Linked DNA regions of Schizosaccharomyces pombe. The gene in region 1 interacts genetically with each later gene. Each region holds a gene or a part of one and is shown on either strand. Other genes may lie near its edges.

Region 1 (4,885 bases):
GACATCAGTCAGACACAAGAATTATATGATGGGTGGGTGGGTTAATACGTATATGAATGATCTCATTTACGTTGCCGTATTGTGCTACTAAAAGTGTTATATATAGAGCAGTGGGAAGTAGAAGTGAGCACTCTTATTAACGATAAAGTTGTGAGTTGAACAAAAGCGACTTACTACTTTGAAATATTGTTTTACTTTACAATTGAACATTTACTAGTGTTCAGGAAAAATCTAATTTTTTTTCGTGCGCTCGATTGAATATTATATCAATCCTTTGTGTTGTACGGAGAAAACCGCTTTTATATAACCTTTCGATTTATTAATTTTTTTTTACTCGGTTAATTCACGAAATCCTAATCGAGCATCATGAATAGGCGTGTTACTCTTGGAGCCTTGGCCGCTGCTGTTGGTGTTGGTTATTATATGACTCGCCATAATCGTCAGGCATCTTCCAGATTGGAACAGAAGAATGCAGAAATCGTCAGAGCCGTGGAAAATGAGGGTCAACGATTTGACAAAGCTGTTGGCGAAACCACTGAAAAGGCAAAATCTTATCTCCAAAGTGGGAAGGAGAGGGTTGTCGATGAACTCGACAAACCTCGTGAAAACGTAAAAAATGTGTTGTCAGAGGCGCAAGCCAAGGGTACTGAACAAGCAGAAGCCCTTAAAAAGGGTACCTCAAAATGGTTTTAAATTGGAAATCCCCAATTCTCGCCATTTAGGGTTATGTGGCAATACTTTGAAAAAATACACACAGGGTTTGTTGTGTATTTGAAAACGTAAAGTGCCTAGCATTGGCTCGTTCTATACCTGCTATCCATTAAGTGTTCTTGTTAATTGTTCCAAACGTATTGCCAAACATTCCGGATCACATCTCGGCAAAGTCGGAGAGATTAAACGTTGTTAACGTTATTCTTTTTTATGTTATTATTAGTTTCTTCTCTCATAAACCAACTGAACCCAAATGATTAGCGATGACAAACAAACGACGATTCCATGGGTTGTCAAAAACACCCTCATAGAAGTTTGCTTTTTTTTGTACAGATAAAAGCGAATTTTTAATTGAAATAATGTTTTTCATGAACGCATAAATGAATGATTGAAATTTTTACATGCATGATTTTCCATTATAGACTGTAAAATGATATTTAAAGTAAGCGATGTGGACTAAGAGTAGTGATAATGCATATGAATACATGCATAGTTTGGATATTATAGGTTTTTCCTAGTTTCCATTATTAAAAAAATAAAAGATTGAAAGGAGTGTTTTGCTTTAATCTGCTCTAGTAGACAGAGTCAAAATTGATATATTTAATAATATTCAAGATGAAGAGATAGAACTCATCAAGTTCGCTTAGATATAACCTTAGCTTACGCGAAAGATGAGAATACTGTAATGCATAGTTTTTTGTTAATTTGAGACAACGAGAGGTATGGAAAATGCCCCTCAGGTGAATTCTCTAAATAAGCTAAAAAGTCAAACGCAAAAAAATGCATTATGCCGGTTTATAGAAGATAAACTTTTTTTTGCTGACAAATATTACGATGGAATTGTCGTTTTGACATTTCTTAGCCGTCGTACCTAATGCTTCTGACTGCTAATCAAGCTCTAAAAAAGCGCAGTTCGTTATACTTCTCTATCCCGTTTTCACCTTCATGACAAGTCCTGCGTATGTATGCATTCTACCATCTTCCATTATTCGCACTTGGGCGTACTCAGCTAAGCTGGTTTTGGCGTATTCATAAACGTGTCTATCCTTCAACAGGAAAATAGGTACCTGAAGAAAATAAGATGGGTCTCAAATTACTTCATCCTCCTAAACGTATGTAACGGTTTAGCTAGACATATAAACAAACTTGAGGATTCTTAGTTGGATGCTCGAGCATCGTATAGGTAGATTAAAACCGCAAAATAACTAACTTTATACAGCTTATGCGATGACCAGTGACCCTGAGTCGTATGCTTCGGTATGTGTCATGAAAAAATGGCCTATTATAGCTACGAATGTGATTGACGAGGTTTCTCGAAACATATCAAAGGCATTGGAGGCGGGAATGTCCGATAAAGCTGCTTATGTTACTCAAGGAAAGGAAATAATCAGCCTTCTTAATCAACTCAAATATGATCTTCAACACAATCGCCCTCTGAAGCCGCTTGTCGGTCAAGGGCCTGATATTGATGACTATAATGAGGAGTTGGAACAAGTTGGTCCATTGACTTGGGGCGATGCTCCCTGGCTTTATGCTGGATGCTATTTTTATCGTATCATGAGTCTTTTCTTTCAAGCCCGTTCTGAGTGGAATCGCCATGACCCCTTCTTTGAACAAAAGGACTTCACATTACGTTCTAGCAAGTCGGCCATTGAAGAATTTGCCAAAAGATATGTACACCTGAACAGTGAACTTGCTTCTATTCAAGAAAACAAGGATGACAAGGCTGCATACATGATTTTTGTAGAAATGGCGGAAATTTCACTTTGGGGCAACGCCATTGATCTGGGACTCTTAGTAAATGCTACCTACGAACAATTACAAAGCCTTCAGGGGCAAAAAGCTGTTGAGGAATCCCAGAAAAACATTTTAGTGAATGATTTCCCCAAAATTTGGTCGAAACTTTCAAAAGTTCGTCATGGTCGCATCGATTTTGTTCTTGATAATGCGGGATTTGAACTTTTCGTTGATCTTTTATTCGCTACTTATCTTTTGAAAACAGAAATAGCGGAAACAATTATTTTACATCCGAAGGATGTACCCTGGTTTGTTTCCGATGTCTTAGTCAACGACATCCCCCATTTATTTAACAGCTTAACTTCTTATTTTTCAGGCGAAGGTGTCCAAAAATTAGCCTCTGATCTTGCGGAGTTTCATGCGGAAGGAAAAATTGTAATTCGACCCAATCCTTTTTGGACTACTGCTCATTATTTTGGACGGCTACCTGATGTTGCTCCTAAACTTTTATCTGACTTAGAACAATCAGATATGGTCATCTTTAAAGGAGATTTGAATTTTCGCAAGCTCACCGGCGATTGTGAGTGGCCTCATACAACACCTTTTGCGGAGGCTCTTGGTCCAATTGCTGGAAAATTCAATATTTTGGCTCTTCGTACGATTAAGGCGGATGTGGTGGTAGGGCTTGGAAAAGGCGTATACGAAGAAATTGCCAAGGATAATCCTCATTGGGAAAGGACTGGTAAATACGCCGTCGTTGAATTTTGTCCCAAAGACTAAAAATTTCTAACATTTTAATTTAATTGACATATGGCTGTGGTTGGAAGTATCTTAATTCTGCTGCGTTCTTTTTTTTTATTTTTTTTTCTCTTTTTTTCTTTCACTCGTTTTTGGGCTATTGGACTCAATATATGGAACCTCACGGTGATAAAGTCGCAGCAGAATAAATCAAAAGGCAATAATGAATTTTTTTTATCTCCTTTTCTTCTACTATTACTGTCAATACATACCAAACTGAATTACAAATACCCTTGCATAACCTCGAAAGTATAAAAAACAAATGTCTTTCATTTGGTGCTCACGCCCAAACGTTAAACCAGCAACAATTTGTGTTAATTTCTCTCCCGCTTTCTTTTACAGATATCAAGTTTCAAAAATACCAAGTATTAACAAAAAATAAATACTTGGATTTTGCAACGACTATTTACAATCCTTTACATTTTTCTTTAACTTCTGTGATTTTCTATGAAACGCAGTTGACATGATTTTATTTTTCTCTTTATTTTTTTTTAAAAAGAAGCAATGTCTAGTATTGTTGAAATTTTAGCTTGATGTTTGTTGAAGCAAATCATCATTTTGCAAGCTGAATGAGCCCGAGTGTTACTTCTATTTACTATTAATCTATCTGATTTTGTATTGCTTTAGGTGTTAAGATCATGTAATCTTTGGTATACAGAAGGTTATGAAACTGGAGGTTCAATTTTGCTTTTCTTTTTTTTTTTTTTTTTTTTTTTGAAAAAGCACGCATCTCACAATAAATCAATAATTTTTGTAGCTCTTTCTAATTTTATATATAAACGTGTTTGTCTTCTTTGCAAATGAGAAAGACTTTGTCTTGATTTTCCTGTTTATTTATTTACTTTCTTTTTTCTGTTACATTGTTCTTTCGGCATTTTCCGTTCAAAAGTTACTCTTTATTTTAAGGTACTTAGAATTTGGTGAATCTTTAGTTTTCTTTTCTTGTTGCTAATTCAATATTGATGAATTTCGTTGCTTTTTAAAAATATTTATTTATTTATGTTAGCATTCGTTTTCGAAGTCTTCAGCAAAATTTCAATAGTTCAATAGATCTTTTTGCGTGCCAATTGAAAAAAAAAACGATAATAATAATAATAACCATAATGGAATGAGCATCGTTTGATTAAACAACAACATCAATCCGTTTACTAAATGAATCTATATCCTATGCCATCTTATAAGTAAAAAATGAAGATACAAATTACAGCACTCTGGTGGAACACGATAAACCGATTAAGAATTTATTATTCAGCAGACGTTATTTAATTTTTGATAATCTCTGCTCCACTTTGCTAACGTAACGACTCGTCATTGTCGATGTCTTTAACGACCTTTGTTACGGTCCTTTAAAAAGTTTAACCAATAAGGCCGAGGCCATCTTTGAGCCAAAATATACCATCAAATTTCACTTTGCCTCTTCACATACCCAATTCCTTAGGGATTTTTAAAATTTTAGAGTATTAGTGTTATTCACTTGTTGTTACGCATATTTTTATAGACCTGTTTATTCCCCAAGGTTTACTTGTGTAATTCCCTTTTTCCGAGGTCGAAAAGTGAAATTTCTTATGATTTAATGAGTACATTAAATTGATTAAGAAATCAAGGAAGGGAATTTAAAAAAGTATCGCTCAAATTGTTT
Region 2 (5,009 bases), on another chromosome or scaffold:
GATCGTGTTTATCACATTCACAACGAATGAATGCAAGTGTAATGTCAAGCCATTATACCAGGATATCCAAACTGGTATAAATTAATAAGATTAATAATGACAAAAATCTCTTTACAAACTCTAAAACGGAAAAAGAAGCAAATGAAAGTTGAATGCACAATAGGCTAAATAACAAAACGTTTATAACAATAGCAGTAAAAATAAGAAAACGACACACTTAAATGGTACAAATACTTAGAAAATCACATATAGTAACTTCTTTCGTCATCTGTACGATCACATTTATCCCAAAACGACTTTCTTTCCCAAAATATACCCAAAAATAAATATAAATAGACACAAAGAAAACGAAAGATAAAACATTCTTAATCAATGTAAGCAGAATACAAGACAAAAAGGGCATCCATAGTATATCAAAATTACTAGACCGATATTAGAAAGATAGGTCCAGATGGCAATTTGGCAAAGAGAGAGAGAAGAGTAAAAAAAAAGTAATAAATGGGAGTAAAAAATCATTTTCCTTTTTTTTTCACATTGTCTTACGTTTGATCATAAGATGATCTGTCGTCTGACAATATTCATAGTGTAGGTCAATCTACTGAGAAACACTCAAATGCAAAAACAAAATAAGAAACGAGAAAAACAAAGGTAATATGCGCAAAATTATTGTCTAAAGGGATGATTCTTGAATGAATCGGCTTGGTTTTGATGGAAGTTAGGATAGGTTCCATGATCGACTAGCTCATGAACGTTAAAGTCGGGTCTAATGTCTCGTGTAGGTATATCATGAAATAAAAGCATGGATGTGTACGCTAGCTCCTCCGCATGGGTATCAGGAAGCATATTCACATGATCACCATCATGTTGTTCAAGCCCGCCATCCTGTTGTCCATGTATTCCTCTTAATGAATGGATACATGGTCTTTCTACCACATGCTGTGACGAATCAGTAGCTATTGAAAACGAGTGTATTCTCCCACGCCAAGAAGGTTGATGATCCGGTACATCTTCTTCCTCATCATCAGCAGCTTGGGATTGATAATAATAAGGAACTTGAGACTTGACGGGATTTGGGGCAGCAGGAAACTCCGAATTATGAACGTCTGGATAAAAATGGTGCATTGTTTCCATATTCTTAACAGTACCATGTTGATTTTGTCCAGGCATAGCCGTTTGGTCTATGTGACGGTCAAAAAAGCTAGAATCGTGATGGTTCATTTTTAAATCGGGAACCTCAAAATGGCTCTGCATGGACAAATTTTCGTGGTCATTCGTTTCTAACATCCAATTGTTCACATTCTCAGCGGCAATTGAGCTTTCGTTATACGTCGGTTGATTATGCATTGCATTACCGAGTTCCGTATGAGATAATAAGCCATGGACTTGTTCAGAAGGTAAACCATGGATCTGATGAATTAGCAAAGAAGGATTAGCTACAGAGTGTTGCGCATATTCTCTTAGAAAATGCTCCTCGGTCATACCAACTGGATTAGTAAAACTTCGGTTTCGAGATTTTCGATTAAAAGGCTTTGAACCAGCTGAGGAAGTTCCAGTTTCGTCCATGTTAGATACCGCCACACCATCCATTGATGTTGAATTGAAATGATCATGATGGACAGCAAAAGGAGGAGTGACATTAGGTTGAAAGTTCTTTGAAGCAGATGAAACAAGTATCTGGGGTTGAAGATTTAGTTCTTGTTTAATAGCTGAGGAAGGATACTGGGCCATTCCGTTTTCATCCATCTGTCTGGAAGACATGGCAAACTGATTGTCACTTGAAGGATCCAACATTTTAGAACTGAGAGAATCTTGCGTGGAATGACCAGAAGATGCAGTAGTTGACTTGGTGTTGTTCGAAGTATCACTCAATTTTTTATAAGGGCCTCTTCTAACTCCCGTTGGCCGTTTCTTCCTGGGTAAATCAATGCAATCAGTTTTGGCTTTAATACAACGCTGACAAGGACGAGCGTCATCACATTTTTTGTTGTCTTTTTGACACTTTGCGCAAGCTCTCTTGGCCTGAGGAAGTCTTTTCTTAACTTTACCGGTAGTAGCTTTAGGCTTTTTTATAATTTTATTCACAGTGGAAAGAGGAGGAGTCGTGTTGTTGGAAACGTTTAAACTACGATTAGGAGATGGACTCCCGGCGGATCCAAAAGGTGGCATAGAGGTTTTAGGAGGATCGGGTGCTGAACAAACGCGCTGCAAAGGAGCACCATCCTGATGATGAGCTTGCGCATTTGAATATGCAGTGCCCTCTGGACCATATTGAGAATAGGGAGACAAGTTGTATGGATTTATGTCTGCCTTCACTCCAGCACCTTGTAACTGAAAATAAGCATCTTCAGGACGATAGGGAGAGTTGTTTAAGGGAATCGGAATATTAGATAATGCAGGAGGATTTGAGTAAAAAGTAGGAGAGTTGTTTGAATTAGGGTTAACAGATGCAACCACCCCAGGTGAAAAACTATCAGACGATGGAGAACGATGGTAGTATGGAATTTCGGTATTTTGGAAATGGACGTCTTGAGACTGTTGCATAGAAACAGATCTTGGATAGTATTCACTCATGCCACCGGAGGAAAACCCAGATGCATCCAAGCCAATGTTTCCCACAAACGGAGCATCATTTGGATTTGGGTTTTGCACTGAAAAAGCAGAGGGAGAAGAGATATGAGAGGTGGAAGATGTGGAGGGATGTACAGAGGCAGAATGAGTACCTTCTACTGGGCGGGTAAGCAATTGTTGCATATGATGATTGATGAATTGATATTCTGCATCGTAATCGGGTAATCCATAAGGGAAAGGAACGGAGGACCGCTTGTAATGTGGATCAAGCTCCTCATTCTTAGAAGCAGACTGAACGACTTTCTTCTGCATACAAACGAAAAAGACAAAAGAAATATGATAAAAGTAAAGCCTTAAACAAATGCTCCTTCGTCTTAAGAAAATTTAGGTTACAAAAAGGCAATACAAAAGAATTGGAGACAATGAAAAGTACCAAAATCCCTAAATCAATGGCTCCTTCACTTTCGTCGCTTTTTGTGAATCAGTATGGAGATATGGGCTATATATGGAAGAAGAATAAATGCGTTTGGAATACTAAGATCGTTGTGTAAGAATAAGAAAGAAAACAATCACGCGTAAAAATATCCTTTATGATCAACAACTTGGTACTTTTCTTTTGAAAAAAACCGCAGTTGAGCAACACTTTTTCAAATCAAAGGTGCTGATATGACACGAACGCGGGGGGTAACAATGATAAATTTTTAGCTCAATCTCGTCAAAGCAGTATAACTGTTTACAGATTTAATATCACTTGTAAACACTTGAACGATGAATTCCTGACAAAGATGAGAGATTTTCTTTTATCGTGTTAGGGCGAAGTCGACAGATCTGATTAGCGGTGGCAGCAGTAATAAATTAGCATGTACAGGGTGGTGGGGCATAGCGCAGTAATCGCCTTTAACACTTTACCTTAAAAAACCTTATATTTAAGCTACCACCGCATTGCGGGGAGATACCTTTTTCGACAATCTTAGCGAAACAGCGCTCTGTTCTGTTAAAATAATAAAGATCAATAACGGAATACAGCGTATTTCACAAGGCCTTGCAAACCGGCCAACCATCCATGGAACGTCTATATAGCACGTATAGGGTGCCTTACATAACATCTGTGTCTGCAATAGCATTGCTGTCAAGAGCCTATACTTACTGTTATTTTTTCTCTGTATTACAACCTTTATTATTGTTTGCTTTTTGCAGACTCCATTTTGAATTGTTGTACCTAAAGCATGAATCGTGTGGTTAAAAGTATCGTATACGGTGTTGGTATGGACATTTTGAGATAGGATCGATTTAGTTGAAAAGATTCTATCCCGAACTTAAGATTGTGTTACTTACCAGTATATAAAATAGGAATCGTTGGATTTGGCTATATGACAATGAAATTAACAACTCCATCTCCCGAACGAGTTGTCAATTCACTTCCACCGGATCTTCGAGCTTCTTATGAAATGAACAAAAAAGATCGATCAGTAAGTATACATAGCGAATCTTTTTTAAAACTGTTTGCTCCAGGTTCTGAAGTGGGTTTGGGGGTGCCACAAAAGAGAGAATATTAAGTCTTCCTTAATATTTCCCTTTACCTTCTTCAAACGTGGTGTTTGCTTTCAATGGTTTTTGTTCGTATTCTATGAAACTGACTTTGAGTAGCAAGCCGAAGGTGTTTTACGAATGATTGAAGACGCAAAACGAAATCCTAAAAACCTTGTTTAAGCGAGTATTCTTACTCAATTCATTTTAATTTTATCATCTCAATGTTTCGATCTTCCTCTCTCAAATATATATCTAAAAGTTACTTTCCTAGGACTTACAAAAAAACGAGCGTTTCCCATTGATGGGTCATTTTCAATTTTCTTGTTTCTTCATCGTGCTACTATTGATGATTTCTGATTTTTTTTTTTTTTTCACTTAATCTATCGCGTATTCGTATAAAACCTTACAAAACAAAAAAACGTAACTTGTGCTTATTTGAAAATTAATGATTCATTTGATTATGGATATGAACGATAATGAATGACTATTATCAGACCGTTGTATTTTCAACAGTGTATATATTACTTTTGCCTGATTTGACTCATATCAAGCCCACTATCAATAAAAATGGAAGACTTGTAAGCATCCAGCAACTTCAGCTCTTTTGAAAGCGAAATAAGTCTTTAGTTTCCTCACTTTAAATTTTGGTACTTCTTTCTCAAAATACACGAGAATACATCCAATAGGTAAACACCCCATTTCCACGTATTTGTAACAAAAAACACATTTTCATTTTGAAATCGTCAACGAAACTTTTAATGAAATACCTCGCCCATTCTGGTATTTTGAGAGGCTTATTTCCCAAAAGTATTGATTGTTTACTTGCTAATATACTCATATGAAACGTTTGAAAAAATGATTTGACGAAAACGATAAGTAATATAGATATATTCTTAAATCTACAAAGAGAA

Evidence for each region.
Region 2: of duf89 (region 1) and pho7, changing one suppresses a phenotype caused by changing the other (phenotypic suppression), as found in Schizosaccharomyces pombe (one study listed by BioGRID).

What each region holds. Positions count from the first base shown.
Region 1 is NC_003421.2:823,313-828,197, forward strand, and holds duf89 (cobalt/nickel-dependent phosphatase), read left to right. Parts: upstream 1-1,685; 5' UTR 1,686-1,792; coding exon 1,793-1,823; intron 1,824-1,930; coding exon 1,931-3,228; 3' UTR 3,229-4,340; downstream 4,341-4,885. Other genes in the region: SPOM_SPCC1393.12 (uncharacterized protein), read left to right, coding at 367-693.
Region 2 is NC_003423.3:1,344,586-1,349,594, forward strand, and holds pho7 (transcription factor Pho1), read right to left. Parts: upstream 3,390-5,009; 5' UTR 2,881-3,389; coding exon 664-2,880; 3' UTR 527-663; downstream 1-526. Other genes in the region: protein Cbp4, read left to right, coding at 3,795-3,831, 3,919-4,037, 4,216-4,278.